Bombyx mori: one gene and its partners. The protein of the gene in region 4 interacts with the protein of the main gene of each other region in a biochemical or structural test. Links are inferred from orthologs where the notes say so. Each region holds a gene or a part of one and is shown on either strand. Other genes may lie near its edges. The genes, in order: kelch-like ECH-associated protein 1B, 26S proteasome regulatory subunit 6A-B, E3 ubiquitin-protein ligase ariadne-1, polyubiquitin-A, replication factor C subunit 1, SUMO-activating enzyme subunit 2 and cullin-2.

Region 1 (4,158 bases), on a different chromosome or scaffold from region 4:
GTATATACAATATCTGTGTTTTTTGACTAGGTTTTTCATTTTATTTGTTATATTTAGGTTTTTAAAATAAATAAATATGCATAGTCATTCTGAGACGAGTAGCAGTTTTTTTCCGTAATTCTAAGAACCCGATTAATTCTGTTGGATATTTCTTGAGTCTCTAAATCATTTACAAATTCATGATACAGTATAAAAACAAGTTTGTTAATCACTGTAACTGTATGATTCATTTCAGCTAGTAATTTGATTGTTTTTGGAGTTTCGTTATTCTACTATTTTTAAACAAGAATTAGATCATGAGCGCCAAACGTCAGTATTATTCAAGATATTGAGTAAGACCGGGGATCGCCCAAACCCGGGTACACTAAATAGACATCGTTAATTCAAATTTAGTTAAGGACTAACATCGGGGAAGTGAGTATCGGATAGCAGGATGTAGCACGGATAGTGCAGAAACGACAATGAACGTTAATGTTTAAAATTAAAAGGAAATCGAAGCGAAGTATCCCTTCATAACAAGATGACACTCTACAAAACTTGCATACGTTCTGTCATGACCTATGCAAGTGTAGTGTTCGCTCACGTGGCCCGTACACTTTAAACTCTTTTCAGGTCATCTAATCCCGTTTCTGCAGGATAGCTGTCGGAGCACCATGGTATATGAGGAATGTAGATCTTCACGACGACCTAAATCTAGTACCGTTAAGTAAGCATCTTAAGGACGCGTCAGAACGCTACTTCGAGAAAGCGAGGCGACACGAATTATTTTATCCGACTGCGACGGGGCAACGCAAGGGCGCCGTCGCCCGAAATATGTCTTGTCGGATCCCCCGAATTTACTCTCGGTGTTTTCAGGTCTCTCAAGTACCGGTGGCGATTCCGATCGGGTGGTAGATTCTACAAAGCACTGCTCTCGTTAGAATGTTAGCAAATTCTCTCAGGTTGAGCACGTGAGCTCACGTATACTCGTCAGGGCGTTGCTGGAATAGCCTCTAGGCTACCAGCGAATAGGTAGGAAAAAAATCGTCGGTGAAAAGTAAGTTTATATTAAGCAGTAAATTATATCCACGACTCGCAAAAAACGATGGAAATACTACAAAGTCAAGTTAAACATATGTATATTAAACACATATTACAGCAAGATGTTTATTTATAGTCTTATTATCTTCGATTTCAGTCAGCCGCGAAGTGTATTGGATCAATGGACAATTGGGACGGATCGATTGTAAAATGCCATGAAATTTTTAGCTCATTTGAAACTTTTCCATTTATTAATATAGGAAAAAAACCTTTCCTAATGAGCATTAATAATGAAAGTTATTTTTAGAGATCAGGTGCAAAAAAAAAAGCACGAAATACTAAGGTTCGCGGTTAATCAAAATACAAATAGGCAAAAATCACAAATAGTAAGTATTAAGTAATATTAAATATTGAAGAAAGCATTGCACGTTACGTGGAAAACGTGTGAGTGTGCGAGATTATTATTTTTCGACCACAAACTTAGGTTTTTGTTTCTAGTAGGCAAAACAATAATTCAAATAATTTATGATCGCTTTTATTATCTATTATTATTAATTTAAAATAATTTTAAATAGTGTTTTTCCTGTTTTGTAAAAATATTATTATTACTAATATTATTTGAGCATCTATTTGTGTGCTCACTCAGTAAAGCAGGCTATAACTTAGGTAGTGACTACATTCTCTTTGAAATAGGGTATTCAAACATGATTTAAATTTTAAATAATGTTTGTTTATTTAGCAACTACATAGATATTTCTAATTATTTGTTCCTTTGGCAATAAGAATGAGACACCATATTATTTATTTATTTTTTATAAGTTCAATATGTCCCCCAAATAGGCAATATAATTTAACATTTTTAATTTTCGCGCCAAAACTAGCCGCCATGTTGATTTGACTACTGACGTCACTGGACAGTTTAATAAATTATAATCCATTCGGTATCCGATTACCTTAAATTAGGTATTTGTTTATTTATTATAAGATAGAAACGTTTTTCAATTGATGCACTGGATATACAGAACCTTGGAGGCATGTTTTTATTTCTTCACTTTTAGTTTTCATTTAGTTTTTTACTGTACTAAAGGATTGAGGGGCTGTATAGTGTTCTTACCAAAATGTCACAAAGAGAATGCCGTCTTAAAACGCGAGGTCGAACAAACGAACCAACCAAAGTCAAGTTGTTGCGTGTTTTTAAGATTGTGTTTGTGTGGGTGTGTATGTTTGTTGGTGTGTATGGTATTTACCTTAAAATAAGGACTGCCCGCCGCTAATACAACTTTGTGGACGTGAAAGAGTTCGTTTCCAACTTCCAACACGACATCAGTCAGCATTTGGTGTGATCTCATTGTAAACATCATCTGTTGACAAGAACATTTAGTATTAATATTCGTTTGGTCTTGACTTTATTAACTTGTGAGGACTTGTGGTGGGGCCTCTTGCGAGTCCGCACAGTTTGAAGGGTGGGGCAGCCGTTGTAACTATACTGAGACCTTAGAACTTATATCTCATGGCGGGTGGCGCATTTACGTTGTAGATGTATATGGGCTCCAGTGACCACTTAACACCAGGTGGGCTGTGAGCTCGTCCACCCACCTAAGTAATAAAATATGTATATAAACGACTACAAAATCTAAGAGAAACCATTTATTGTTTAAAAAAGGGGCTTCGAAAGTGTGTGTATTGCTTCGTTCTTGCTTCACGCAGCAACGGAACAACCAATCCTCGTGATTATTGCTTAACAGTCGTTAGCAAATCGCAGCGGAGAGTGACATTGGCTGCATTATTTTCTGTATAAACTATCCTTTTTTATTTTTAAGAATTACGAATTTGAAGCGGTTGAAAGTGCAAACCGTACATTGTTGTTGTATAAAGGACATAGGCCATTTACGGCCCAGCTGCTCGTGCTCTCAAGGACACGAATGAAATATCTATAGAAAAAACATTTCATTTTTACATACTTATTATAAAATTTAAGGGTATTTTAATGGTGGGATAATTAAAATCATAAATAAAAAGAAATTAGGATGATTAAGCTACATTGATAATATTGAAGGAGTTGCCATAGGTAAAATATATTTATATTTTAAACAATTCACATTAAATCTTCTTAAAAAAGACATTATATTGCAAAAAACTAGCAAAATATATTAATATATTTAATTAATGGATGGTTCCGTGCTGGATGTCTTGTTGTTCTCTTCAATGAAACGATTTGGCTCGTATTTACAGGTTTATTAAAAGATAAAAACTGAAGAATAAATAATAATGAAGTGCAATATGAGTGCAGTAGATAATGTAATCGTTAAAGATGTATATGGGTCATACACAAAAAGGGTAAAAAAAGTGTTATAGCAATGTATCATCTAAAAGAGCAAATTGGCGAATATTTTAAAGTATTTAAATCGTAAAGGTACTATATTACTACTCATTTTAATCGTATCTTGTAAAATATTACATTTCATAAATTCATTTTGATGGCGTTAAACATCAAAAAATCTCTTCCTGTGGACTGTTACAAGACGAAGGTATAATGTTTGAGCCATGTTTAAAAATACTTAAAGTACCCTATATATTAAAATTATTTACTTGTAACACAAACAATATAATAAAGATGATAATATTGAGAATAACAAAAATATATCGTTACTATCTGTATACAATAAATCCAATAAACATATGGTTACATGAAATGGAGTCTTTTCTGTGGACGCGATAAAACGACATCAAATTTTAATTTATTCGACCGCATTAAGTTTTTTTTTTTAACTGTTGGCATCACTAAATAGTGGCCATTCCGGCGTTTGATATTTTGTTGTTTCGATTCCAGTGCGAGTGAAAATATGTTTTTTATTCCAAAACACACATAAACGTAAAAGATCAAGTGTTCTTTCCTGTTCCAATTATAGACATGTAAATATTATCTATAAAAATGTATATTTATTGTTTTTATATGAGCATTTAGTACAAGTAAATGAAAAGCATGTTGCTTGATTTCTAACCTTAAAGTTAATTTCTTTACGCAAGAGTTTTTATGATACATCTTTTCTGTGGACATCTTTCCTGTGGTCCCGATGTCCACCGAAAAGACTATGTCCACAGAAAATGTGTAAGAAACATACCTTAGTAGGTCTAAGT
Region 2 (4,771 bases), on a different chromosome or scaffold from region 4:
TATATTATGAGGCTAAGACTTGTTTAACAGTACTTTATTCTATGCTAGAGTCATACAAAGTACTGACTGCTGGTAGAGTAAATAAATATAAAGGTGATTATTTTTGATTGATCAGGTTTACAAAAGTGAAACACTCTTATCTATGATAATACTTCAAACTCATGAATCTTCCCTTCCTCAGGGTTTTGGTAGTATTTTGAAAATTTTTCTTTTAATTTAAAAACCTACTTAAAACATCTCAAAATTTGGATAACTGTTGGAGTTTGTATATTAAATGTAATGGCAGGCAACACTTGACACTTGATTAGATTTCGAATATTAGAAATATTTTAAAATGTTTAAAAAAACAGATCATTGTATTCTCGTAAGAAAATGTCAGAACTTCTCATCTAGACACGGCATGAAAAACATGTAATAGTTTTATATAAAATATAAAGATAATAATTGTATTATGGTGTAAAAGTGTTCAAGCTATCTGCAATATAATTATAATGAAGCAGTTGTGTTTTTAAATAAGCCCCTCATCACCTACAGAACCCAATCCCCTGAAATTTAACCGTCCAACAATAACAATAAATGAATAATATTACGCTTTTTAGCTTGTAGTTTAATATATTTTTACTATTCATTGAAAATAGTTTTTTTTTTTTTTATCTTCTGTTGTATATTAAATTATATCACAAACTTGAAGAAAATATAACTCCTTTTCAAATATTTTAAATTTAGTTAAAAATCACCAACACAACCTTAAAATGAAACGTAAAATGTAAACAATAACATTAAGATTAGATACGAAATACAAAACGTGTTTTTTTCTCTTGGGGCGATTAAAGAACTCCAACAGTAAACCGGTCTTATCATAGTATTTTAATGTTCATGTGGAAAATCTACAGGCGTCGAAAAAAAAACGATTCAGATTCCTATTATGTAATGATAATGTGAGCGCAATATTAATTAATCTGTTACCTGATGTACGAAGAAACATGGAGAACGCCATGGTTATTTATCGTGTGATATATTACTAAAACTTTTTTATAATAATAAAATATAAATATTACTTTAAAGTCCAACAGAACGAAATCACCAAACCCAACCAAAATTGGAATAAGTCAAAACGTCAGATTCAAAATAATTCAAAATGTCAAATGTTAATTGTCAATTGTTTACGGTTATAGGTAACATGAAGTTGTAGCACACAGGGATAAGTTACCGGTGTACTCGTTTTGAGCGATTTGCCTACGCTAATGTTCAAATTACGGAGGCAGATATAATGTTTTTTAAGGAAATAACTACCTAGGAAGACTTAATTATAAAGACCAAGATCGTCTAATTCCTGTTTCAAATTACATAAATACTGATGGTAAAACATGATAAGGTACTCCCGTACAATTAGAGGTCTTTCTGATAGTCGTTAAATTAAAGGATTATGATTCTCACTGTATATATATCTTAGCGTGGTTAGTGTATACTGCATGTAATGAATATGTACATGTTGTGATATTTATTTTTACCCAGTAGGTCCTTAGCTTGTTCATACATATATTACAATAATAGAATTATGCTAGATAAACAAGTGAATTTTGATAATTACAGAGCTGAACATTTTAACTAAGGTCAGATCGACTAGAAAGTTGAGTAACCAATGTCGTAAACAATGAAAAAAAAATACATCAGGCTGGTCACATCAAAATGGAATGACAATTCATTTTAGAGTCGTCAAATGTGTATGGGTTCAAGAACTTCTTAATTTAAAAGATTACTACGAAAAAACAAATCATAATATTACAATGGCCACAACATTAGAAGACAAGTCAATTTGGGAGGATGGCGAGGAAGCTCTCAGTGAGGAAGTTCTTCGCATGCCAACTGATGAAATCGTAAGTCGAACCCGACTTTTGGACAATGAAATCAAAATAATGAAGAGCGAAGTGATGAGGATCTCGCACGAGCTGCAGGCTCAAAACGATAAAATTAAAGAAAACACGGAGAAAATCAAGGTCAATAAGACGCTACCATATCTCGTATCGAACGTCATTGAACTTTTAGATGTGGATCCGCAAGAGGAGGAAGAAGACGGCGCCGTTGTCGATCTAGACTCACAGCGTAAAGGGAAATGCGCTGTAATCAAGACTTCAACCCGGCAAACATATTTCTTGCCCGTCATCGGCTTGGTAGATGCAGAGAAACTCAAACCAGGAGACTTGGTAGGAGTCAACAAAGACTCTTATTTGATCTTAGAAACGCTCCCAGCGGAGTATGACGCCAGAGTAAAGGCAATGGAGGTAGATGAGAGACCAACTGAACAATACTCAGATATTGGAGGTCTGGATAAACAGATACAGGTAAGAAACTCAGATTTATTTAATTTTAAATTTATTAATGGTTATGCTGCTTATTTTAAGTCTGACGATTTTAAAATTTTACAAAACTTTTACAAAACAAGTATTGCTTGGCTTAGGAACAGTGCCTTTATAGGACACTCAAATACTTATTTGTTTTTTTTGAATATCAAGGGCTTGTTTTTCTGAATCAAATCATAAATAATGATTCTTGTAAACATTGTACAAGCTCATTTTAATATTGAAAACAATTTTAGGGTTATGTATGACCTTAAATAATCAAAAATTATAAAGTAATTGAAATTGAATTATTTTTTTATTTAGGAATTAATTGAAGCTGTAGTGTTGCCAATGACACACAAGGAGAAATTTGTGAATCTCGGCATCCACCCACCCAAAGGAGTTCTTTTATATGGACCTCCTGGTACAGGGAAGACATTGCTGGCGAGAGCTTGCGCTGCTCAAACAAAGTCTACATTTTTGAAGCTGGCTGGTCCACAACTTGTGCAGATGTTCATTGGTATGACATATATTAAAAAAAATAAAGATTTATTTTTTGTTGTCACTCCAATATGCTGAGTATGACATATTTTATGATATCTCTCTCATACCCTCAGGTGATGGTGCCAAGCTTGTCCGCGACGCCTTTGCATTGGCTAAAGAGAAGGCACCAGCAATCATCTTCATTGATGAACTGGACGCTATTGGTACAAAGCGTTTTGATTCAGAAAAGGCTGGAGACCGTGAGGTGCAGCGTACTATGTTGGAGTTGTTAAACCAGCTTGATGGGTTTAGCTCAACTGCTGACATCAAGGTAACCATAATTATATAATATACTAGTACAACACCTAAGTCATTTAAGTACCGTTATCAGAACTGGACTAAATTGAAATGGGGACCACACGGGAAGCGTCAGATTTCTAATAAAAAAAGAATCATCAAAATTGATGCACCCATTCAAAAGTTATGAGGTAACAAACATTAACAATAACATACAGTCGAATTAAGAACCTCCTCCTTTTTTTAAGTTGGTTAAAAATGGTAAAGATGCACAGTTAGGATTCTCGAATTGCAGAGAACAGTATGTCTACCAGCATACTCTTTTTACAACTAGGAATTCCCTGATGACATATGGGTACTTCCCATCATCCCATCTGTCTCTGCAGCGAAAAAATAAACCTGGTGCTTATGATGATTACATTAAACTGTTTTCATTTATAAGATCTCCATTCATTTCATTTATAATACCTCCATTCTCCTCACAGGTCATTGCAGCTACCAATAGAGTGGACATTTTGGACCCTGCCCTGCTCAGATCTGGACGTTTGGACCGAAAAATCGAATTTCCTCATCCCAATGAAGAAGCCCGAGCCAGAATTATGCAGATCCATTCCCGGTAATGAATTTATGATAAGAAAAAAATATAAAAGAACAAATCTGAATTAATGTCAAATGTTTTTTTATCAATTATAACTTATTTATAAAACAGAAAAAATAAGAACATGAATTGAATGTGCTTACGAATTCAAGCTATGCTTTGTAATATATTAATTAATTTTTTGGTGAACATAGTCAAACAAGATCATGGCCCACTTAATTATTAGAATCCAGATATCAAAACATGATTGTGGCCGTTTACCTCGACGCAAATGCAAGATTCAGGCTTACATTCACAGTATAAATGCAACAATTCAGTACTGACGTTTTTGTCAATGCTCAAATCGATTTGTGTTTGGGTTACTATTAACGTGAACTTACAGCGCGAATTAGAGGCGAGGAGTTTTTACTTTATACAAAATTACAAAAAGTAACATTAAAAAAACAGATTTAAAATAAAGAGTCAGAATCTGCAAACTACTCGGCAACATAGATAACGATACTAAAAACATGTAATGAAAATCGACAGTGTAACTGGTACGTAAATAGTGCAGGTTCATATTAACATTTCTGATTTCAGTAAAATGAATGTAAGTCCAGACGTTAATTTCGAAGAACTGTCGCGTTCGACTGATGATTTCAATGGCGCCCAGTGCAAGGCGGTCTGCGTCGAAGCTGGTATGATAGCGCTGCGACGTTCAGCAACTGCCGTCACTCACGAAGACTTTATGGACGCCATACTGGAGGTCCAGGCTAAGAAAAAGGCCAACCTTAGCTATTATGCTTAGTTGTATTAAATATAAATAATTTGTATAAATAAAAATTTACTTCAAATTGTTTTTTTATGGATATTGTAATATTTATCGCAATATTTTCAAATAGCAAACTCGACGTTGGCAACAAATGCGTTGCTAGAAACCGATCATGATACTGAAAACACAGTAATATGCAATGATGTTATGGTAATGTCTTTTTACTATAATATCATTGGATACAAGAATGAATTTCTTACATTAGGAGACATCTCACTGATCTTTGAATTTGGTGCCAAAATA
Region 3 (4,158 bases), about 130 kb from region 4:
AAATCTCTTCATAAGCTTCTTCGTAAACTCTCTTCGACACTAGCAGTGCTAGTCGTGGGAACAAACATTACAAGTTCTGCTTCTCGAAGCGCCAAAATCTTTAAACTATCATCCGATTGATACTCGTTTCTGAATAATTCAAGACGAGAAGCTCTCTTGTGTAAATCAGCCTTAAGTGCAAACGGGTGCAGGATAGCGACCCGCGACACAGTTTATAGAGAGGCAATGTGTTTACTCTGTGTAGTCCCAGCAGTCCTTCTCGTATCCCTCGTGCACGTGCTCTAATAACACTTTTCGCCGACTGTCACAGTATCTGTAACAAGTTTATTGAAACATTTTGTACAATTCGTAATAAATATTGACAGTGTAAGCACATCTTATTTTCACCAAAATCGTTTTATTACATTCACGAATCCCTCATAATTTTCAAAAGTTGAATTAATATAAATGTCGATAAATTTTAAAAACGTACTGTTTAAATATTACTGCTTTAAGGTAAGATGTGTCGCTATTTGTGCGTTGTGCCTTAACTATCCCCATATCTATGAGCGGCAGTGATCAATATCAATTAAGTGAACCACAAACTCGTCTACCACGGTTAGTATTTTTAAAAGATAACGTGCATATGCCACCCTGCCACAAATAACTACAAGGGCTCGTATAATCCGTAGAAATTCAGATCGTCTAAAGAATATTAAATTAAACACTTACCTGTATTTATCTTGAACCTTCTGCTTGATGTCGGCAAGGTTCTCGCTAGTGATGTCCCGCTCCAAGTACTCCGAGAGCGTTTCGGTCGCCGACTCCAAGTCGCGTTGGTTGTCCTCGAATATGACCGACTGGTTGTTCTTGCGCAAGTAATACGCGAACACGTACGTGTACATCAGCGTTTGTCGGCACTGGCAGAGAATATCTACAGCTTTCTTGAGGAATTGGACCTGTGAAACGAGGGGCGTTTGTAAGTAACTGTATGCGCTACTGAATGTGGCGTACGCAACTTGAGATTTAGATAGGAAGAAATCACTGATAGTCAAAGAATATGCGTTTATTATATAGTTGGCTAACAAGTAACTAATTCTATCTATGTATGTTGATGTGGTGAGTACCGCTGTATATGAGTGCTGAACGTGTACTGGCGCTTTATACTACGGTTTGAGTAAAGCAACGTAAAAGTGCTGATGTGAATGCGCGCGTGCCCTTTACGATACATGACTCGTACAGTAACTTTAAATATAACAAACTATTTTTAGTAATCGTTTTTCAAATAGTGTCAGTGCAAAGCATTGAAATGTTATTATGTATGTGTTAATAGTTGGTCTGCCCCATCGGAAGTTATAGTGATAAAACCATAACTATCTAAATCCATTACTATTGTCTCCTCCATCTGTCCTAGTAGTCGGGTCCGCATTTTTTTTTAACTTAATCTTGTCACCATTCTTAGCGATTACTCAACCCAATACCTAAAATGCTAGACGGTTCATGGAGCCAGCGGCCCTTCGTCAAACTATAAACCCAATATGAGTACAACTCGGAGTACAGACTTCGCGAGATTATGACAAGAAAATCAGTATTGTAGGATTGGTAAGAACGGAACGTATGTAAAGAGTGTGGAACGGAGCGTTAAGATGTGAGTGAGAGAAAACGGAAAGAAAGGGAGAAGAGAATGACAGACAGAATGACAGAAAATTAGAAAATGGCGAAGACGGTTGAAAAATGAGCAAAACGTAATACAAGTGTTAATTATTAATTATTGGAACGAAGTTCCTTATCGCGCGTTGTGAAAGGGGGCTAGACGGAAAAAATTCTTACGAAAAGTTGTCACGACACTTTTTAGATCCGTCATTCTGACCAATCAACGTGTAGGCGCTTATCGCGTGACATTGCTCGTATCCGATTGGTCCGCGTAATGAGTACAGTTTCTCGAGATAGCGTTTCAACAATAGTAATTTAGTTCATAGTATTGTTTTTTTCTTCTTCATAATGCCGTAATTTATTATTATAACTTAAAAAAAAAAACAATTCCTTCACTAATTAATCGAATGGAACTTCGTTCCATCCGGGTGTCCCTTGACACCTCTGAAGTTTTTTATTATAACAGAAGAATTTGGAACAGTGGAAGTTTTATTTTATGCGCTGCGATCCCTATTCTACAGTATTAACCTCAATCCAGCTCATGTTGTGTTGCTGCATCTCCTCCATCTTCTCTTTAACCGAGGCGTAGAGTTTGGACTCGAAGCGCAGCGACTGCATGTGGTTCATGTACCGGTTGCAGTAGAACAGATAGCGCTGCAGCGCTGCGCGGGATCGCTCCTGTGCGTCCCGGGCTGCTTTCGCTTCGTCCTCGTCGTATCTGTCATTAAGTCACGTGTAATAAGGATAGAAGTTTAAGATTATTTTTAAAGAAGTTTAAGGTCTCAAGTATAGTTACAACGACTGCCCCACCCTTCAAACCGAAACGCATTATTGCTTCACGGCAGAAATAGACAGGGCGGTGGTACCCACCCGCACGGACTCACAAAGAGGTCCTACCACCAGAAAAAGATCTCGGCAACATTAAAATTTTTGAAGCCTGTTTAGAAAGTACTACTTGGAAGTAGTATTTGCCTAAAGGTGAAACGCCTGATGTACTCGTTTCTTAACCGTTCTAACGAGACTTTTAATATCAAGTAGAGAATTTCTCAAATAATATCTTATATATAAAATTCTCGTGTCAGAATGTTAGTTACCATACTCCTCTGAAACAGTTTGACCAATTTTTATGAAATTTTATATGCATGTTCAGTAGGTCTGAGAATCGGCTACAGTTTATTTTCCCACCCTACAGTGATAAGGGCTATCCACCCCTAGCATTATTTTTTGGACAATTTTTATTTTTTTGTTATAATGAGGTATTATGTGGTTGAATGAGGTTTTGTTATTTTTATACTCCCTAATTATTCACAGCGCTACTTGCCTCTTTCACTCATTTATCACATCCTTACACACTTACAATAAGTTTTTTTTTTCTACACTAGAAATTCCCTAGAAATCTTATATATGGCAAAACAACGTTTGCCGGATCAGCTAGTTTTTTTTAATAAAAATATAGACAATTGTTAAACAATGTATTAAGACATCATACCTGTTACAGCTGTACCAGCTGCTGCCGTGGGGCTCCCAAGGTCCAAGACACACCCAGCAGAAGTCGGCCTTGCAATTCTGATTCTTGCACACCATGTGGTTGCAGCCGCCGTCCTTCTCGATGGTGACGTTGCATTTAGGACACTCCTTCGTGTTAGCCGCTATCCAATTTGAGGTCTCCGAATCGTCGTCGCATTTCTATAAATAAATTCTCTCTGTATTTTATTATATACTTTTTTTTTATAGTTACCTAATATTAACACATTCTTTTGTCTTTATAGTTGATCTAGTTTTAAACATTTTGAAATTAAATGTTTCAAAACCTAAAAAAAATACGTTTAAATAACAAAAAAATATAGATTTTTTCAAAATCCTGGTGATCAGTCTTTAAGCTAAAATAACAAAACTACTTTATTGTTATCGGTTCTTGACATGTGTGCAAATTTTCAAGTTAATCACTCGTTTTGAAGTTGGCAAAAATTACGTAGAAAAGTTCCGTTGACACATACAATAGATAGATAAACGCAGGCGAAGCCAATAAATTTATCTTTATCATTTTTTTTTATTTACCTTTTAGTAGGCAGACGAGCATACATACACCTGATGATGGTGGTGGTAACCGTCGCCCATGGACTTCAGCAATGCCAAACCAGGCCGGTGCCCACCGCTTAATACTCTCCACAAGTCTCAAACAATTCCTCAGAGCACCAATACCGTCTTTACCATAAGGGCACACGGGGCCCGTGCCCAGGGCCCCCATTCTCAGGGGGCCCCGAAAGACCGAAAATTAATCTCACACGCTTATTCTCAAAACATTTTTCTCGGGCATCTTACCCTTTTTTCAGAATCAGTAATCAGAATTACAAGATATACTATGCCTATAATAGAAGATTTTGCTCAACAGACACCCCGAAAGAAACCGTTATCGAAATCGTAACCAAAAAACCAGCAGCATTCTAATATCATTAATGACATATTATATCATACTGTATTTGATTACCTATAATAAATGGTCATACTCAGTAAAAAAATGTTATT
Region 4 (3,968 bases):
TGTTGATGAATTTTCGGATTATCGATATTCCCCTTCGAATCCTTACTACTTCAAATTGTTATTTTCACTGATCATACAAACCGGTTTTAAAATGAACACCTCTCAAGGGTGTTTCCTGAGCTCTATGAAATCTTCTTGTTCAATCAAGGTTTGAAAGGAGTATAGCATTGCCAGTGTCCATGAGCATCGATCAGTACTTACCGTCATATGGGCCATTGGCTATTGTATCTATTACGAAAAAAAACCACAAATACTTAAGATTAAAAGTGTTTGAAAAAACTCTAGCATTTTTTATGTGTTAATTCGAAAGTATTCTTGCCTAGCTTATTTATTCTGATGAACTGCTGCTACAATCAACGCCCTATAGGTGAACAAAATGTAATCGTTCAAAGCTCTGCCATCATTTCGTTCAGCAATTCACCATCTTCTGCTCCCCACTCCGAACGAGGAGCACTGCTGCTTGAGATACAGGTTTCATCACCTAATTCAAGCACAGATGCAAATTAAGACTGTCTTTCTACTTCTATGCTAACAATAAATAAATAAGTAATAAAAAAATGAGTATCGCCGGCAACCAGCTGTTCTTCTAGCTCTAACTTTTCTATTATTCTCATTTACAACTCCTACAAGCTGATTGAATTTTCACCGCACTCGCACATATCAGCTGTACGTTTTCACCAAGCCTTTTGGTGGGCTAATCGATATATTAGAGATAAAAACTTGTTTAAGCCTTTGCATAAGTTTTACTATTACTTCTTAAGTGAAAATAAATTTATGTGTCCTAAAGTACATATTAATTTATGATAGATATTTTTCAAAACATAAAACAATCGTCAAAGCTTAAAAACTGTTTGAATACGTATAGCAACATTCCGCCATATTGCTCAGAGTGATTTCTTTCAGGCAACGACTTCCTAAAATAGTGATCGAGAATAATCCTAAAATACAAGCCTGAAGGGAATACATGGAATTTTTAATTTATTATATTATTCATTAAATTAACTCAACTCATCTCGTCTCGTCTCGTCTCATCTCATTTCATTCATTTCATTTCATTTCACACCATGTTTCATATTAATCAACTTTATTTCATTTCATAATATCTTTTTTCATATAAAAAGTTTTCATTATAATTAAAATAAGACTTGACCTAAAAGTCTTAGTTACCAGGTCATAAAATTCTTTATTCTGCTTTCAAGAGTCAAGTTGAATTTCATTCATTCGTGAAAGAGCTACCTAGTTGCACGACGTGTCCTACAATTTGTGATAATTTTAATAATTTTTGTGAATTCCAAAAAGGTAGGAAATATTTCAATTTTTCAAAAATATCACAACTCTACTGCATGAAATAATTATTGTCAACAAGAAAAGTTTGAAAATCAAGTTTGTCATTTGTACACACAAAAAAATCTGAAACAATGACGATGTAATTTATGATCGTCGCCATTTTGTGATGACTAAAAGTCTTTGTTCTTTTGTTTTGTTCGTCAATCCATTTAATACTCCGAAATAGGGAATTCATCCGTCAATCTTCATTAAAGTTCCTTCTTTGTTCTAGAAACCACCATGCAGATTTTTGTAAAAACTCTCACTGGTAAAACCATAACATTAGAAGTCGAAGCATCCGACACCATAGAAAATGTAAAAGCAAAAATTCAAGACAAAGAGGGCATTCCTCCAGATCAGCAGCGACTGATTTTCGCTGGGAAACAACTTGAAGACGGACGGACATTATCCGATTACAATATTCAAAAAGAATCTACTCTCCATTTGGTATTACGTCTGAGAGGTGGAATGCAGATCTTTGTGAAAACACTTACCGGTAAAACCATCACACTAGAAGTTGAAGCATCTGACACCATTGAGAATGTGAAAGCCAAGATTCAGGACAAAGAGGGAATTCCCCCAGATCAGCAGCGATTGATCTTTGCGGGCAAACAGCTTGAAGATGGCCGTACATTATCTGACTACAACATCCAGAAAGAATCTACTCTGCATTTGGTGTTACGTCTCAGAGGTGGCATGCAGATCTTTGTGAAAACACTTACCGGTAAAACCATCACACTAGAAGTTGAAGCATCTGACACCATTGAGAATGTGAAAGCAAAGATTCAGGACAAAGAGGGAATTCCTCCGGATCAGCAGCGGTTGATCTTTGCGGGCAAACAGCTTGAAGATGGCCGTACACTATCCGACTACAACATCCAGAAAGAATCTACTCTGCACTTGGTTTTGAGACTGCGTGGTGGCATGCAGATCTTTGTGAAAACACTTACCGGTAAAACCATCACACTAGAAGTTGAAGCATCTGACACCATCGAAAATGTGAAAGCCAAGATTCAGGACAAAGAGGGAATTCCCCCAGATCAGCAGCGATTGATCTTTGCGGGCAAACAGCTTGAAGATGGTCGTACACTATCTGACTACAACATCCAGAAAGAATCTACTCTGCATTTGGTATTACGTCTCAGAGGTGGCATGCAGATCTTTGTGAAAACACTTACCGGTAAAACCATCACATTGGAAGTTGAAGCATCTGACACCATCGAAAATGTGAAAGCCAAGATTCAGGACAAAGAGGGAATTCCCCCAGATCAGCAGCGATTGATTTTTGCTGGCAAACAGCTTGAAGATGGTCGTACATTATCTGACTACAACATCCAGAAAGAATCTACTCTGCATTTGGTGTTACGTCTCAGAGGTGGCATGCAAATCTTTGTGAAAACACTTACCGGTAAAACCATCACACTAGAAGTTGAAGCATCTGACACCATTGAAAATGTGAAAGCAAAGATTCAGGACAAAGAGGGAATTCCCCCAGATCAGCAGCGATTGATTTTTGCGGGCAAACAGCTTGAAGATGGCCGTACATTATCTGACTACAACATCCAGAAAGAATCTACTCTGCATTTGGTGTTACGTCTCAGAGGTGGAATGCAGATTTTTGTGAAAACACTTACCGGTAAAACCATCACATTGGAAGTTGAAGCATCTGACACCATCGAAAATGTGAAAGCCAAGATTCAGGACAAAGAGGGAATTCCCCCAGATCAGCAGCGATTGATTTTTGCTGGCAAACAGCTTGAAGATGGTCGTACATTATCTGACTACAACATCCAGAAAGAATCTACTCTGCATTTGGTTTTGAGACTGCGTGGTGGCATGCAAATCTTTGTGAAAACACTTACCGGTAAAACCATCACACTAGAAGTTGAAGCATCTGACACCATAGAAAATGTGAAAGCCAAGATTCAGGACAAAGAGGGAATTCCCCCAGATCAGCAGCGATTGATTTTTGCGGGCAAACAGCTTGAAGATGGTCGTACATTATCTGACTACAACATCCAGAAAGAATCTACTCTGCATTTGGTGCTACGTCTCAGAGGTGGAATGCAGATTTTTGTGAAAACACTTACCGGTAAAACCATCACATTGGAAGTTGAAGCATCTGACACCATCGAAAATGTGAAAGCCAAGATTCAGGACAAAGAGGGAATTCCCCCAGATCAGCAGCGATTGATTTTTGCGGGCAAACAGCTTGAAGATGGTCGTACATTATCTGACTACAACATCCAGAAAGAATCTACTCTGCATTTGGTTTTGAGACTGCGTGGTGGCATGCAGATCTTTGTGAAAACACTTACCGGTAAAACCATCACACTAGAAGTTGAAGCATCTGACACCATTGAGAATGTGAAAGCCAAGATTCAGGATAAAGAGGGAATTCCCCCAGATCAGCAGCGATTGATCTTTGCGGGCAAACAGCTTGAAGATGGTCGTACACTATCTGACTACAACATCCAGAAAGAATCTACTCTGCATTTGGTATTACGTCTCAGAGGTGGCATGCAAATCTTTGTGAAAACACTTACCGGTAAAACCATCACGCTAGAAGTTGAAGCATCTGACACCATTGAGAATGTGAAAGCCAAGATTCAGGATAAAGAGGGAATTCCCCCAGATCAGCA
Region 5 (4,158 bases), on a different chromosome or scaffold from region 4:
GTCGACGGCATGGCGGGAAATGAGGATAGAGGTAAATTGGAAATATCTATATATTAATACGTGAAGCAAAAACTTTGTACCCCTTTTTACGAAAATTGCGCGGACGGAGTAGTATGAAATTTCCCACACTTATAGAGAATATAGAGAAGGAGTGCAGAACGTTAATATTTTTTTTAAATTATGCATTAAAAAATCAATAAAGAAAACATTACACACACTACATACCATGTATTTGACACACACATACACTCTGTTTATTGTCGAACTTTTGTTATTGCATAAAGTCTGTAGTCAAAATGAGAATAGGTTAATATTCTTTATCTTTAATATTACGAGTATTTGTCTATAGTGTAGTCTTGGCGAAATCTGTGACTATAGAAATATAATATAATATCCAAACTTATAATTTTAATTAATTATAGTCGAATTTCGACTACTGCGGGAACACTAGTTTATAAAAAAAACATCTGGACTACGAACTAAATTTAATGGCTGAAAGACAATAGAAAATCGGATGAATGACAAAATAAAACGACACGGTCTTTCTCTATTTAAACTAAAATACTTAAAATAGTTTTGTGAACAATTACGAATTTTACCTCTAATTATGTATTTTTAGTATGGTCGAAATTACAGCTGTTCTTTGTTTAATCTTTCGGAGTTATAAAACGTAAATTTCATTTTCAGGCGGCCTGCAAGAGTTGATAAATCTGATAAAATCAACATCAGTGCCAGTGATATGTATGTGTAACGACAGAAACAGTACGAAGATGAGGTCCCTGGTCAACTACTGCTATGATTTGAGGTTCAACAGACCAAGAGTGGATCAGATCAGGGTAATTAACTTATGGTTTTAAAAGAACGAAAAGAGACAAATAACATTAACATTCAGTATAAAATATATAAAACAGAATTAGGAAAAAAAAACAATTATCATTAAGCACATGGTAATCAAACTTGTCTCAAAATTAACCTGAACCCTTTAGCCTCCTTTGTCGGTTCGACAGCCTATACAGGTAAAGGAAACGATTCCCATACAGCCAAATCGTTTGTCAAAAAAATCAAAATCACGTCTATTGTATATTATTATTATTTTTGTCTTACCTCAGATTTAAATCTGATTTTTTCAGGCCGCGATGATGTCGATATGTTTCAAAGAAGGAATCAAAGTGGCCCCGGACGTGTTGACGCAGCTGATCGTCGCTTCTAACCAAGACGTGCGGCAGACCCTCAACTTACTCTCGATGTGGGCTGTCGACGAGGCGTTGGCCAGTGTGGACAAGTTAAAAAGAGACGCAAACACCACGAAGAAGGATGTCAAATTGGTAAAATTGGAATTAGTAGTTTTCTAGCTTAATTCTTGTTTACGGCGATATGTGGACGAGGCTAGTGGCGGGCGCGGTCACGTATTATTTGAAATTATAAAAGCGAGCACGCTGGTCAATGACGTTCGTGACCTTTTCAAGTGAGTAGTTGTGTCGTGTGTGCCCACGGCGCACTGGCAGTGAATTCCACCCGATCCATTTACGGTGCTTTTAGGTACCACAAGCACCGGTCACTGTCCTCGTCGAACCCGAACTATGCACTAGAAACAGTGAAGTTCTCGTAATGTTTAGTAGAATAATATATCTATAGCTTTAATATTTATCTATAGCTTTCATTTGATATAGTTGTTAAAAAAAATTTTTCATATAGAATTTTATACGAAAATGTTTTTACTCGTTAATTCAAAATAGAGTTTTTGCATATGGCAATTTTTGTTTTGACAGCGACGATATTTACTATTCAAATCATGGAAAACTTTATTTATGATGTTAAGAACTGTTTTCCGCTTTTACCTGAACAGTATTTATGTTCAATTGAGGCAGATATTAGATTAAAAGTTCACAATAACCACTTTCTAGTGTGAACAACTATATACAGTCAAACCTGGATAAGCGAGAGTTCAAGGGAGCACAATCTCATTCTCGCTTATAGAGGTTTCTCACTAACCCGAGTTTTTCGCTAATGCTCCCTCTGAATTTCATTTCGCGATTTTCCGGATTCAAACGCATTCACTATTTTAAGTTTATCACTTAATGACAGTACTTAATTTTCCGTTTTTACATGATGCAGAACAGAACTTTCCTTTGCAATTGATTAACGATAAACTGAGGTAAGTCCGACAAATAGGACGGTACACAGGCACACGTGTCCATTTGAAAAGAATGCGATAAAATAACAACGTTATTTAGTTCCAAAGTTAAGAAGGAGTCATAAAATAGCAGATGTTAAAGTTGTAATTTGTTCCTCCTAAATAATATAAATAAATAAAGCTCGACTGTCGCAGAGGTATTGATAAGTAGCAGGCTCACTTACGGAGGTCCATGAAGGAAAATCGACTCTCTCTTACACAGGTTTCTGTTTCTCGCTAATAGAGGTTTTGGGACCTTAAAATGACGGGTCCTGGCTATTACTCTCACTTAGAGTTTTCTCACTTATCCAGGTTTGACTGTACATGTGTTTTGCTGCCAAAATAATACTACATAATATTATAAATGATTTCCATCTCTGATTGTCTATCTACTAGGGTCCATGGGAGGCAGTAAGGAAAGTGTTCTCCGCAGAAGAACACAAGACTATGAGCATTCACGATAAAAGCGATTTGTTCTTTTACGACTACAACCTCGCTCCTCTGTTCGTGCAGGAGAATTACTTGCAAGTTGCACCACACTGTCCCAAGTGAGTATAGACTGTTTTTCCTTTGCTCTCAATTGTAGAAGAGTGTACAATCCTCTCCCTGTCGCTTCTTAGGACTTCTTGTGAGTTTACTGGCGGTAGAACCTCTTGTGAGTCCGCACGGGTAGGTAGGTACCACCGCCCTGCCTATTTCTGCCGTGAAGCAGTAATGCGTTTCGGTTTGAAGGGTGGGGCAACCGTTGTAAAAATATACTTGAGACCTTAGAACTTATGTCTCAGGGTGGATGGCGCATTTACGTTGTGGATGTCTACGGGCTCCAGTAACCACTTAACACCAGGTGGGCTGTGAGCTCGTCCATCCAAATAAGCAATAAGAAAAAAAAAAGTTTTTTAAAAATGATATATAGAATTAATTTAATTTAATAATTTCATTTGGCAGACACGAGGTTCTAGAGAGATTTAGTAAAGCGGCCGACAGTATCAGTATAGGCGACATGGTTTCTGCGAGAATCAGAGGCAGCCAGGCGTGGAGTCTTCTGCCTATTCAGGTATATAAACCGATAAAGTTTTTATTTATAGATGTACAAACGAATGTTCATCACTCACTTAGTTAAAGCAGTTACTTAAACATTGACCTTTTTTTTATTAATTAATTTTAATTTTATTGATAAGGTAGGATTTAAGGTAATCGAAATGAAAAAAAAAACATTAATTTGTTCCCAGTATGTTATTTATGATAAAATCTCTTTAATCCCGACGTGTCTAATATCGAGAACATTCCGCAGGCCATGTACAGCTCGGTGCTCCCGGGACACGCGGTGTCGGGTCACGTGGTCGGCCAAATCCAGTTCCCGGGCTGGCTCGGGAAGAACTCTCGCGCCAACAAAATGCACCGGCTCGCCCAGGAGATACACGCTCACACAAGACTCAGGTATGCCCTGCGGTCGTGTTCAACAATGTCCACTTATTTGGTTCAATCATGTCTCCTGACAATAAAGAACTACCATTGTCCTTAACATTGACAATGGCTAATAGTCTGCCAGCCGTGAGATTCTTTGATACGTCTTTTCATAACGTCACTGTTAAGCACATTTAACATTACTCTCGTGTAATCTCACTAAGTTATGAGTTTGCAATTGGACGGAACTTATTTGCTGACTTATTTCTTATGAGCAAATAAACATTGGTTTCAGTTTGAATACCGGAAGGATACAATCTTTGTTAAAGATTATTTGAGATTCGGTGTCTCTGTGCATGAACTTGACCTCACCTTGACCCTGACATTTGTATCAGAGGACAGGACCACAATTTGTAATTTTATCATCTATTTAACTTAAAAGACTTAAAATTCCAGTTAAAACTTAAAATTATTCAAATTTAATAATAATATGATGTCATCAATGAACTTATTCATTGACTTAGTTTTTATTAATTTTTAGCACCTCAGGGTCGAAATCTTCAATATACCTCGACTACTCA
Region 6 (4,624 bases), on a different chromosome or scaffold from region 4:
TAAAGACTAATATCAGATTCTGTATAATTTCTAATATAGAAAAAATGACATATTTATATAAATCCGTACTGTACCTTTAACTGCTATTTATCACGTAGTAGGTACATAAGTAAATTCAAAGTGATAGTCAAATACAACAACATTTAAAAACTGCAATGCTTAAAGCAAATATTGCTTCTTACACAGCACGCAATGTAATGCAATTGAGAATATTGTATCATTACTGTCGAGTGACACGAAGGAATCGCCCTCCAGATACCATCATTAAGCCGTTCACAAAAATCAGTTCATGGTTGGCATGATCCTTTCATACATTTCCTTTAATTTTTGGAACCGTTAATTAAATAAAAGCAGTTTCATTGAACTCTGAGATCCCTAAGCTTTTACGAACTACCAATCATAACACAAAGTATGCGTAAATCTCGTGAGGTTCATCTACCTAGTTCTTCAAATAGAAGCAAAGAAGCCGTCACAATATAGATCTCTAATAAATAATAAACTTTAATGCTGCATTTAACAAATGCATCCTGGGTTTTTCTCTAAAGCAAATATGTGTTACATGACACATTAGCTTACTACATAGGATTCGATGTCATTTAAAGCCGTCGGCATAAAAATTCAATGGGTCGTAAAACTGAACCTTAACAGAAAGCGTCATGTTTTATTATAAACTTATTTTCATTCAGGATAAATTAGATTCTATTATAGCAGCGCTTCAGTCACTTATTGAGCCTGGTTGATTTCTGTATAAGACATTCTACCTTCATTCTCCATTTCCATACCCACACCATGCAGGTGCTTTGACTAATCTTATCCAGAATATCTTAAACGTACAACCGAATAGGGCGTATTACTGTAACAGTTATTACTTACTGTAACAGGCTCAGATAGACAGAAAGAAGGGGGAGGGGAAAAGGAAACGTGACATTCATCGCAATTCGTCGTTATTATTCGAATAAAATTTTCTGTCGATAGGTCTATGGTAAACATGTAAATAATAATAAATACCACACATTTTACGAAACTTTTTATGACGGATTTTATAGGCCCTTAAGCAAAAATCAAACTTTATTTGACCCAAGATTATTCTCTTAAGCTATACTATAATAATAGATTGTACAATGTTACTATTGATGCAGATTCGATTTGCCTAATACTACGAGTATACAAATGGTTTAAAGAGTAACAAGCACTCTTTAGCAAGAATGTTTTAGATGACATTCTTTATTTTGTGAGATATTCTTCTCATAAACAAAAATAAATGAATAAATTGAAAATTCTCAGTCGAGATGCTCGTCAAAATCTCATATTATTAATATACATTAAGTAACATCTCCCGTTCGGATTTTTCATAACGGTTTAATTGGGCGATGCTTAACTTTCCAAACTCATTAACTAAATTCTTACGTTATGAAAAGTTTATTTGTCAATAGAGTTGTTTGTAATATTATTAGCTGACAACAAAGTCACACTACGATATGGATTGCAACGGAGTGAACCTTGAAATTCCTGTTTGGCTTAAAAGACTAAATTCCAAGCCAATAAATTATTTAAAAAAAAGAACATAAGCCAGTGATTTGACAGGTCATTTATGTATCCTCGTTGAGTTTGTGTTGAAAACTTTAACAAATTTTGCACATAATTTCGTTATTCGATCTGTCGAAGTATAAATCAAAATGGTCGCGAGGGTCGCTGGCGTTTTCGATGAGAAATTGACAGAAGCTATTGCAAATTCTAAATTGCTGGTAGTGGGCGCCGGCGGCATTGGTTGTGAGATCCTTAAAAATCTCGTGCTAACCGGCTTCCCATATATTGAAATTGTGTGTACTGAGCAATTTTTATGTTTTTAATAATAAAAGGTTTGTTTCTGACGCAATGTTTGCTTTTAGATCGACCTTGATACTATCGACGTAAGCAACTTGAATCGTCAGTTTCTTTTTCACAAAGAGCATGTTGGGAAATCAAAGGCTCAAGTTGCAAAGGATAGCGCCCTTAGTTTCAACCCTAACGTAACAATCGTAGCTCACCATGACAGTGTAATCAGGTATGTTACCTTACATGTTATAAACAAACATTCTTTAAATGATTTCATGTTGAAAATATTAGGATGTTTCTGCTTCAAAACTGTTCATTTGCAAAGTTGAATAAAAGTTATGTTTCATACATTCCAATTAAGAGATATATAGTGAATGTGATTTTAGAAGCAGAACTCTAAATTCACCAACCATTAACTAAAAAGTACTAGAAACATTATAATTTTAAGATCTACCGAAGGATAAATTTTTACAGCTCATCTTGTATTTGTATTCGTTGTAATTTGTTGTTTCCAATGTTTTGAATAATTTACAATTTTGTTTTCTAGAATCAGTAATTATCTCCTAAAGCTGCCCAGCACTATTAATATGCACACATACTAATTTCATAACAACCACTTAGTAAAGTGTAATGAAATACAATTTATCTGTTATACAAGACAACTGTAAGGGTTCTGTTTCTGTACTTTTCACTACAATACCTTAAAAATTCAGATCCTAAATGTGAAAAAGATAAGTGAATAGAGAACATAAACTAATACAACTTGTTTGTATTTGATTGCAGCAATGACTATGGTGTAAAATACTTCAAACAGTTCAACATTGTGATGAATGCACTGGACAATCGTGTTGCCCGTAACCATGTTAATAGATTGTGTCTTGCTGCTGATGTACCTCTTATAGAGACAGGTACAGCAGGATATGCTGGTCAGGTGAGATGTAATTTAAAAATAAAGGAAATCATTAAGTAGGATTATTAATGACATTAATTTAATTATCATTAAACTGTTTGGTAATTGTGTCTAGAAAAATATTTTGGAGACATTTTCTTGTATATGAATTTATTTTTGCAGCAGTACTAAAGGCATAGAGTATGTTTTATTATTAATTATATAAGTACCCAAAAATTGATTATAAATAAATTTTAGATTTCATAATGGGTTGGTAAAGTACTCAGAGCACTATCGACTTTGTGAACCAACACCCATATGCTTACTTTATCTTACAGGTGGAGCTCATCAAGAAAGGTCTGACTCAATGTTATGAATGCCAGCCTAAAGCACCACAGAAATCATTCCCAGGTTGCACAATTCGTAATACACCTTCAGAACCTATTCACTGCATTGTATGGGCAAAACACCTCTTCAACCAATTGTTTGGAGAAGAAGACCCTGATCAAGATGTGAGTCCTGATACAGCTGACCCTGAGGCTGCAGGTGATGCTGGACAATCAGCGTTGTCTAATGAAAGTACTACTGCCGGTAATGTTGAAAGAAAAAGTACCAGAGCCTGGGCAGCAGAAACTAATTATGAACCAGAAAAGTTATTCACAAAATTATTTGGTGATGATATCCGTTACTTACTATCTATGGAGAATTTGTGGAAGAAACGTCGGCCTCCCACTCCACTGTCATGGGAAAATCTACCTGGAAAAGATGCTCCAAAAATTCAACATTCAGGGTTGCCAGACCAAAGAGTTTGGACAGTATATGAATGTGCACAAGTGAGTTTTTATGACCTTCAATAGGACTATTTCAATAAATTTATCTAAACTAATTAAAAGGTTTAGAATAAAGCAAGCACCCACTTCTTTGAAAAGCTTATAGTGTGCCACACTACAATAATTGGATTAAGTAGTGGCTCTATTATTTAGTGTTCCAGAGTCTAGTTGATCAAAATTCGACTATAATCAATATACCTGTCAATACTTTGTATCAATGTATTGATAACAATAAAAATAGAATGCAATACAAAAAGTAATAAACTAAAATATGAAGAAATAATAATATTCCTCAACAGAAACAGGCTTTTTAAATATTATCTGCACTGTTATACTAGAAAAGTATTTTTTCTGTACTTGTTACATGCAAAGTAATGTACAAACTAGAAAAAGAAACTGAATACTCACAAAAGTTCTGAATTATTCCTTCACCTCTTATATAATAATTTTAAATAAAATTCACCAGGTATTTGCAGCAAGCTGCAAGGCTCTACAGACAGATTTGAAATCGCGTCCGGGTGACGACCATCTTGTATGGGACAAAGATGAAAAAAGTGCCATGGATTTTGTAACTGCCTGTGCTAACATACGCGCACATATCTTTAATATACCACTAAAATCACGATTCGAAATCAAATGTAAGTTTATTATTCTACTCCAAAGGGCATGCTCTGTTAATGTTATACAAACCTTTTAAAATCACCTTAGGGGCCATCCATAAAGTACGTCACACGAATTTTAGGACTTTTGAACCCCTCCCCCCCTCCTTGTCACAGGTTGTCACATTTTTATAACCCCCCCTCCTGATGTGACGTCACACATTTTTTAAATTTATGTATGTATTTAAAAATAATCGAGAGAAAACAGCTATTTTCATTTTTTACTTATTTTTATTAAATAATAATCTAATAAAATCAACATAAAGTCCAACATTTCATAAAACCGAAAAAACAAACGACTAGTTAGAAAATAATAAACGATTAATTATATTAATTAAAGATAAAAAACTTAATTATCGAGTGTCCATGGACTTTGGATCCACTCTTTTATATCAGCTATTACTGGTAAATCAGGCACTTCATTTTCGTTC
Region 7 (4,158 bases), on a different chromosome or scaffold from region 4:
CTCTAGCGCGCTGGCACCAGGAGGACGGGACGATGCGTCGGCGGCTGCGGACTGCGATGCGGTCCGCATTTTCGTCGTCGCTGTCGTCGCCGAACATACTGTGGAAGAGCAACCCGGTCGGCGGTGTATCGCGTTCCGACCCGGCAGGCTGGTTCTGGCCCAGCGGGGTATCCCGGAACACCAGCGGCATCGCCCGGGCGGCCTGAAGGGCCGCCGTACCGCGGAGACTGACGTCGTTGGTCGTCGACTATCGCCTCGACGACCCGTCGGTCGGGCGTCCTCGGGGTGGCGCCGCGTGTCTGGTTGTAGTGTTGACCGCGGGAACCCCCCTACTCTGACCGGGTTTTGACCCCGGACGGAGATCGGACGCCGGGTGTAAGAGTGCAGGGGAGTCGTTTAGTGGGTGGGCCTTAAATTCCTTGGGCCCGCGGTCTGCTCTCAACACCTGCAGATCGTTGAGTCTCACATACCCCGCGCGCCCCCTAGGCGCGGGGACCTCGTAGGAGGTTCGGCCCTCGGCCCGGAAAAAAAAAAAAAAAAAAAGAAGTAGTAATGTTATGGGATCGAAGAATACCGAGCAGGATATCGAGATCCACGCAGTTGAATGCGTTACTGAAGTCAAGTAGTACAAGAATGGTTAGGGATTGGTTTTCAATTGCCCATCGAATGTCATCTGTCACTTTCAGCAACGCAGACACCGTGCTGTGTCCCGATCGGAAACCTGATTGAAAGTTGAAGAAAGCATGTTGCAATCGTTACAACTTGACCTTTGTGATTGAGGTCTCAATTGTTCTAGGATAATGATGTTGAAGCAGAAACAAAGATTAGTTAGAATAAAAATGCTATATTCATTTAGTATTAAAATATTTGTCTCCATGAACTCAATACAAAAACTCATTTTGAATTCATACAATAATAAGAAGAATTTTAATTGAATTTGGTTTGGAATTGTTGAAAAACCTAGTTAATATTAGCAAACAAACATTTAATCAGTAAATATCATGGTCATACTGCTACATGACCACCTGACTCACAACCGACTGAGGAATGTCAATACCAGGATATCATGCCCCGGGCGCTACACACAAAGGGGCATCGAATTGTCTGCAAAACCAATAAATGCTGTGTAATGTTTATTTTTATTATAATTGATTTCTGGAAAATATATTTGAAATAGTATAGTATAGTATAGTACCAATGAAATATCACAAATGTTAATTCCTAAAACAAGAAAAGGAAAAAAAAAGGAACATTGATATTCTAAAGCAAACTTTTTATTGTTTTATAACTCTGTGTTTTTCAAATATTACTTTATAAATATATAAAATAATTAACAGGTATCTTTAAACTAATTATAGATCATCATATACATACATTTCAAAATCTAGTCTTGTTTCCTCAACTACATTTTTGTCTCAAATTTAAAGCTTAGCTTGAGCCTATGACTTTATCTATTTAACTTTATTTATTGGTTAATTTGCGAGTATATTTTACATATAATATTATGTGGTTTTCGAAGGGGTGGGGTAGTCGCTGGGAACCACTTACTATACAATTAAGTGTTCATATTTGTAGGGTAAGATATTCACGAGGCACACCCCCATCACCTGTGACCTCCACTCCACCTACTCGTTTACTGGCCTTAAATAATTGTATGGTTACGTGTTTTCCAGGTATGTGTAAATAGTTCGTGATGATGTCGCTAAAGCCGAGGCACGTGGACTTCCAGGAGACATGGGCCAACCTCAAAGAGACCGTGAGTCGTCAACGCAACCTGTTCATTCACAACATACGAGGTACAAGGGATCCCCTTACAGAGCGTATTAAACTTGGGGTCGATAACCGTACCCAGGTGACGCCCTAAGGCCGCACTCGGGAGAGACCGCAGTCACGTTGCTGTCCGTCTTCGAGTTGAGGAATGGTTCTCTTGCACCCCGTGTGTGATGCGAGCTCAGAGTCATATTTCTTTCTGATACCCGAATAGAACAAGTCACAGAAAACTGACTCGCGCATACAATAGCATTCAGATAGTCGCGCCATTCCGCCGAGAGACGCGACGCCCCACTACCGTGCCGCCCGCTCTACATGTGTTTGTGTGCGCCAGGTTGCGGGGGTGGTGGGGCTGAAGGCCGTGGACCGCATCGTGTGGAACACCCGCTTCTCTGACGTGTACGCGCTGTGCGTCGCTCACCCCGAGCCCCTGGCGGACCGGCTCTACGACGAGACCAGGTACCTACCCGCTACTCGCTGTGTCGCTGTGTGCTCGTCCTAACCAACGAGGACTGCGTCTGGTCGATCTAATGTTGTGCTCGCTTGTTACGTTTGTAGGAACTTCTTAGAGGAGCACGTGGCAAGTCTGCTGGAGAGAGTTCGAGGCTCCACCACCCTCGAGCAGTCCGACCACAACGATGGACTACTGGACAGGTAAGGGGCCACACGCAGACGGACATGCATGTATAGCGCATACATTCACTTTAAATCAACAGTCTCAGGGACACATGATTTCTTGACTGCTCTCTCACTTCGAAAACTCAACTGCATTGTTTGCTTTCATTGTAACCGTTGAATATAGACGGGTTAACGCTTCCCGTCCACCCGGTGCGGAGTAGTTACCGGAGCCCGCGGACATCACGACGTTAACGTTCGCGTTCATAGTCTCACTGGTTGTATATATTGTAATGTGTGCGGTTGTGCGCAGGTACGTGTCGGCGTGGCGCGAGTACAGCCAGGGCGTGGCCTACCTCAACAGCCTCTACTCCTACCTCAACCTGCAGCACGTCAAGCGACAGAAGGTACGTGGACGCGGCCGCGAGGCTCCGTGCCTCCCGCTGGGGACGCACTCGCATCGTAACGTTTGTGTGCGCAGGTCTCCGACGCGGAGATCATATACGGCACGTCGGCCACGGTGAGCTGTCCCGAGCAAGACGCGCGACAACTGGAGGTGAGTGGGGCCGCGCCGGGACTCGCCGGGGCCGCGCCGGGTCCGCGCCGGGACGCGCCGGGACCGCGCCGGGACGCGCCGGGTACAGAGACGGACTCGCCTGTTGCAGGTGGGCGAGCTGGGCCTGGACATCTGGGAGCGCGTGCTGGTGCGGCCGCTGTCCGCCGCCCTCACGGCGCGCATCGTCAGCGCGCTGCACGCCGCCCGGGACGCGCCGCCCGACCCGCGCCACGCCGACATCATCCGACAAGCCATACAGAGCACCGTGCACGTATGTACACCGCCACCCCACCAGCACTCCACCAGCACTCCGCCTCGGTACAGTCGCGTGCAGTGCAGTTGATAAAATATGTAGCTGAAAAATTAAACAACAAATTATTATAAAATAGTTTAAAAAAAAACTTGAATGAATGCAGGTCCGCAGTTTTCGCGTCCGGTCTCCACTCGCGCTGTACGAGCAGCTCGTGCTGGAGCCGTTCCTCCAGGCGGCCGGCGAGCAGCACGCCAGGACGGCGGCCCACTTACTGCAGGAGGGGGACGTCGCACATTACATGAAGCACGTTCTCGCAGGTACATACAAAATGTACTCACATCTCTGCTCTATGTACTGACTCTACCGCGCGAGCGACGACGCCGAGTCACTGACCTCTGCAAGTTTTAATAATGAATAGTAATTCTTTAGAGTAATATTATTATTTAGAAGTACATACATATATAAGTTAATTTAGCGTAGTAGTGTAATTGCAGACAATAGGTGTGTAGTAATTACAGGTAAGAAGTGAAGTACGACTTTACAATATTAAATTGTTAATTTTCTGCGCCCCTGATTCCGGGGCGATCCTCTAATTCTGTTCCTTGTTACTTGTATATGTAAATATAAATCTATCTTAATCCTTTTATTCGTTACTTCAAAAATATTATAATTAGAAACCGCAACTTCCACCACGTCACCAATCATCCTGCAGGCAGCACAGTACAGTACAATGGTTGTGCAGTACCACACAGTGGCAGTACAGTGCAGTAGAGTACAGTGGGTGTGCAGTACAGTACAGTGGGTGTGCAGTACAGTACAGTACAGTACAGTGGGTGTGCAGTAGAGTACAGTGGGTGTGCAGTACAGTACAGTGGGTGTGCAGTACAGTACAGTACAGTACAGTGGGTGTGCAGTAGAGTACAGTGGGTGTGCAGTACAGTACAGTGGGTGTGCAGTACAGTAC

Evidence for each region.
Region 1: the proteins of polyubiquitin-A (region 4) and kelch-like ECH-associated protein 1B form a complex in vitro, tested with the Homo sapiens proteins (2 studies listed by BioGRID). The link is inferred for Bombyx mori from reciprocal best matches to the Homo sapiens genes UBC and KEAP1.
Region 2: the proteins of polyubiquitin-A (region 4) and 26S proteasome regulatory subunit 6A-B form a complex in vitro, tested with the Homo sapiens proteins (2 studies listed by BioGRID). The link is inferred for Bombyx mori from reciprocal best matches to the Homo sapiens genes UBC and PSMC3.
Region 3: the proteins of polyubiquitin-A (region 4) and E3 ubiquitin-protein ligase ariadne-1 form a complex in vitro, tested with the Homo sapiens proteins (3 studies listed by BioGRID, with this or other methods). The link is inferred for Bombyx mori from reciprocal best matches to the Homo sapiens genes UBC and ARIH1.
Region 5: the proteins of polyubiquitin-A (region 4) and replication factor C subunit 1 form a complex in vitro, tested with the Homo sapiens proteins (2 studies listed by BioGRID). The link is inferred for Bombyx mori from reciprocal best matches to the Homo sapiens genes UBC and RFC1.
Region 6: the proteins of polyubiquitin-A (region 4) and SUMO-activating enzyme subunit 2 form a complex in vitro, tested with the Homo sapiens proteins (2 studies listed by BioGRID). The link is inferred for Bombyx mori from reciprocal best matches to the Homo sapiens genes UBC and UBA2.
Region 7: the proteins of polyubiquitin-A (region 4) and cullin-2 form a complex in vitro, tested with the Homo sapiens proteins (2 studies listed by BioGRID, with this or other methods). The link is inferred for Bombyx mori from reciprocal best matches to the Homo sapiens genes UBC and CUL2.

The regions. Positions count from the first base shown.
Region 1 is NC_085128.1:13,269,687-13,273,844, forward strand, and holds part of kelch-like ECH-associated protein 1B, read right to left. Parts: intron 2,382-4,158; coding exon 2,268-2,381; intron 1-2,267. UniProt on the Homo sapiens protein: Substrate-specific adapter of a BCR (BTB-CUL3-RBX1) E3 ubiquitin ligase complex that regulates the response to oxidative stress by targeting NFE2L2/NRF2 for ubiquitination.
Region 2 is NC_085131.1:1,840,942-1,845,712, forward strand, and holds 26S proteasome regulatory subunit 6A-B, read left to right. Parts: upstream 1-1,646; 5' UTR 1,647-1,694; coding exon 1,695-2,342; intron 2,343-2,663; coding exon 2,664-2,859; intron 2,860-2,956; coding exon 2,957-3,153; intron 3,154-3,604; coding exon 3,605-3,735; intron 3,736-4,296; coding exon 4,297-4,504; 3' UTR 4,505-4,550; downstream 4,551-4,771. Other genes in the region: succinate dehydrogenase [ubiquinone] cytochrome b small subunit, mitochondrial, read right to left, coding at 967-997.
Region 3 is NC_085127.1:9,583,874-9,588,031, forward strand, and holds part of E3 ubiquitin-protein ligase ariadne-1, read right to left. Parts: intron 3,319-4,158; coding exon 3,122-3,318; intron 2,351-3,121; coding exon 2,161-2,350; intron 939-2,160; coding exon 712-938; intron 314-711; coding exon 236-313; coding exon of another isoform or gene 232-235; exon of another isoform or gene 1-231. UniProt on the Homo sapiens protein: E3 ubiquitin-protein ligase, which catalyzes ubiquitination of target proteins together with ubiquitin-conjugating enzyme E2 UBE2L3.
Region 4 is NC_085127.1:9,713,253-9,717,220, reverse strand, and holds the start of polyubiquitin-A, read left to right. Parts: upstream 1-1,168; 5' UTR 1,169-1,299; intron 1,300-1,558; 5' UTR 1,559-1,566; coding exon 1,567-3,968.
Region 5 is NC_085121.1:15,066,256-15,070,413, reverse strand, and holds part of replication factor C subunit 1, read left to right. Parts: coding exon 1-31; intron 32-687; coding exon 688-836; intron 837-1,130; coding exon 1,131-1,325; intron 1,326-2,569; coding exon 2,570-2,721; intron 2,722-3,118; coding exon 3,119-3,227; intron 3,228-3,464; coding exon 3,465-3,610; intron 3,611-4,118; coding exon 4,119-4,158. UniProt on the Homo sapiens protein: Subunit of the replication factor C (RFC) complex which acts during elongation of primed DNA templates by DNA polymerases delta and epsilon, and is necessary for ATP-dependent loading of proliferating cell nuclear antigen (PCNA) onto primed DNA.
Region 6 is NC_085117.1:15,263,693-15,268,316, reverse strand, and holds the start of SUMO-activating enzyme subunit 2, read left to right. Parts: upstream 1-1,438; 5' UTR 1,439-1,676; coding exon 1,677-1,820; intron 1,821-1,889; coding exon 1,890-2,044; intron 2,045-2,598; coding exon 2,599-2,746; intron 2,747-3,042; coding exon 3,043-3,537; intron 3,538-4,000; coding exon 4,001-4,172; intron 4,173-4,624. UniProt on the Homo sapiens protein: The heterodimer acts as an E1 ligase for SUMO1, SUMO2, SUMO3, and probably SUMO4. It mediates ATP-dependent activation of SUMO proteins followed by formation of a thioester bond between a SUMO protein and a conserved active site cysteine residue on UBA2/SAE2.
Region 7 is NC_085129.1:21,457,159-21,461,316, reverse strand, and holds part of cullin-2, read left to right. Parts: intron 1-1,673; 5' UTR 1,674-1,693; coding exon 1,694-1,756; intron 1,757-2,104; coding exon 2,105-2,229; intron 2,230-2,328; coding exon 2,329-2,424; intron 2,425-2,698; coding exon 2,699-2,792; intron 2,793-2,866; coding exon 2,867-2,941; intron 2,942-3,050; coding exon 3,051-3,212; intron 3,213-3,357; coding exon 3,358-3,511; intron 3,512-4,158.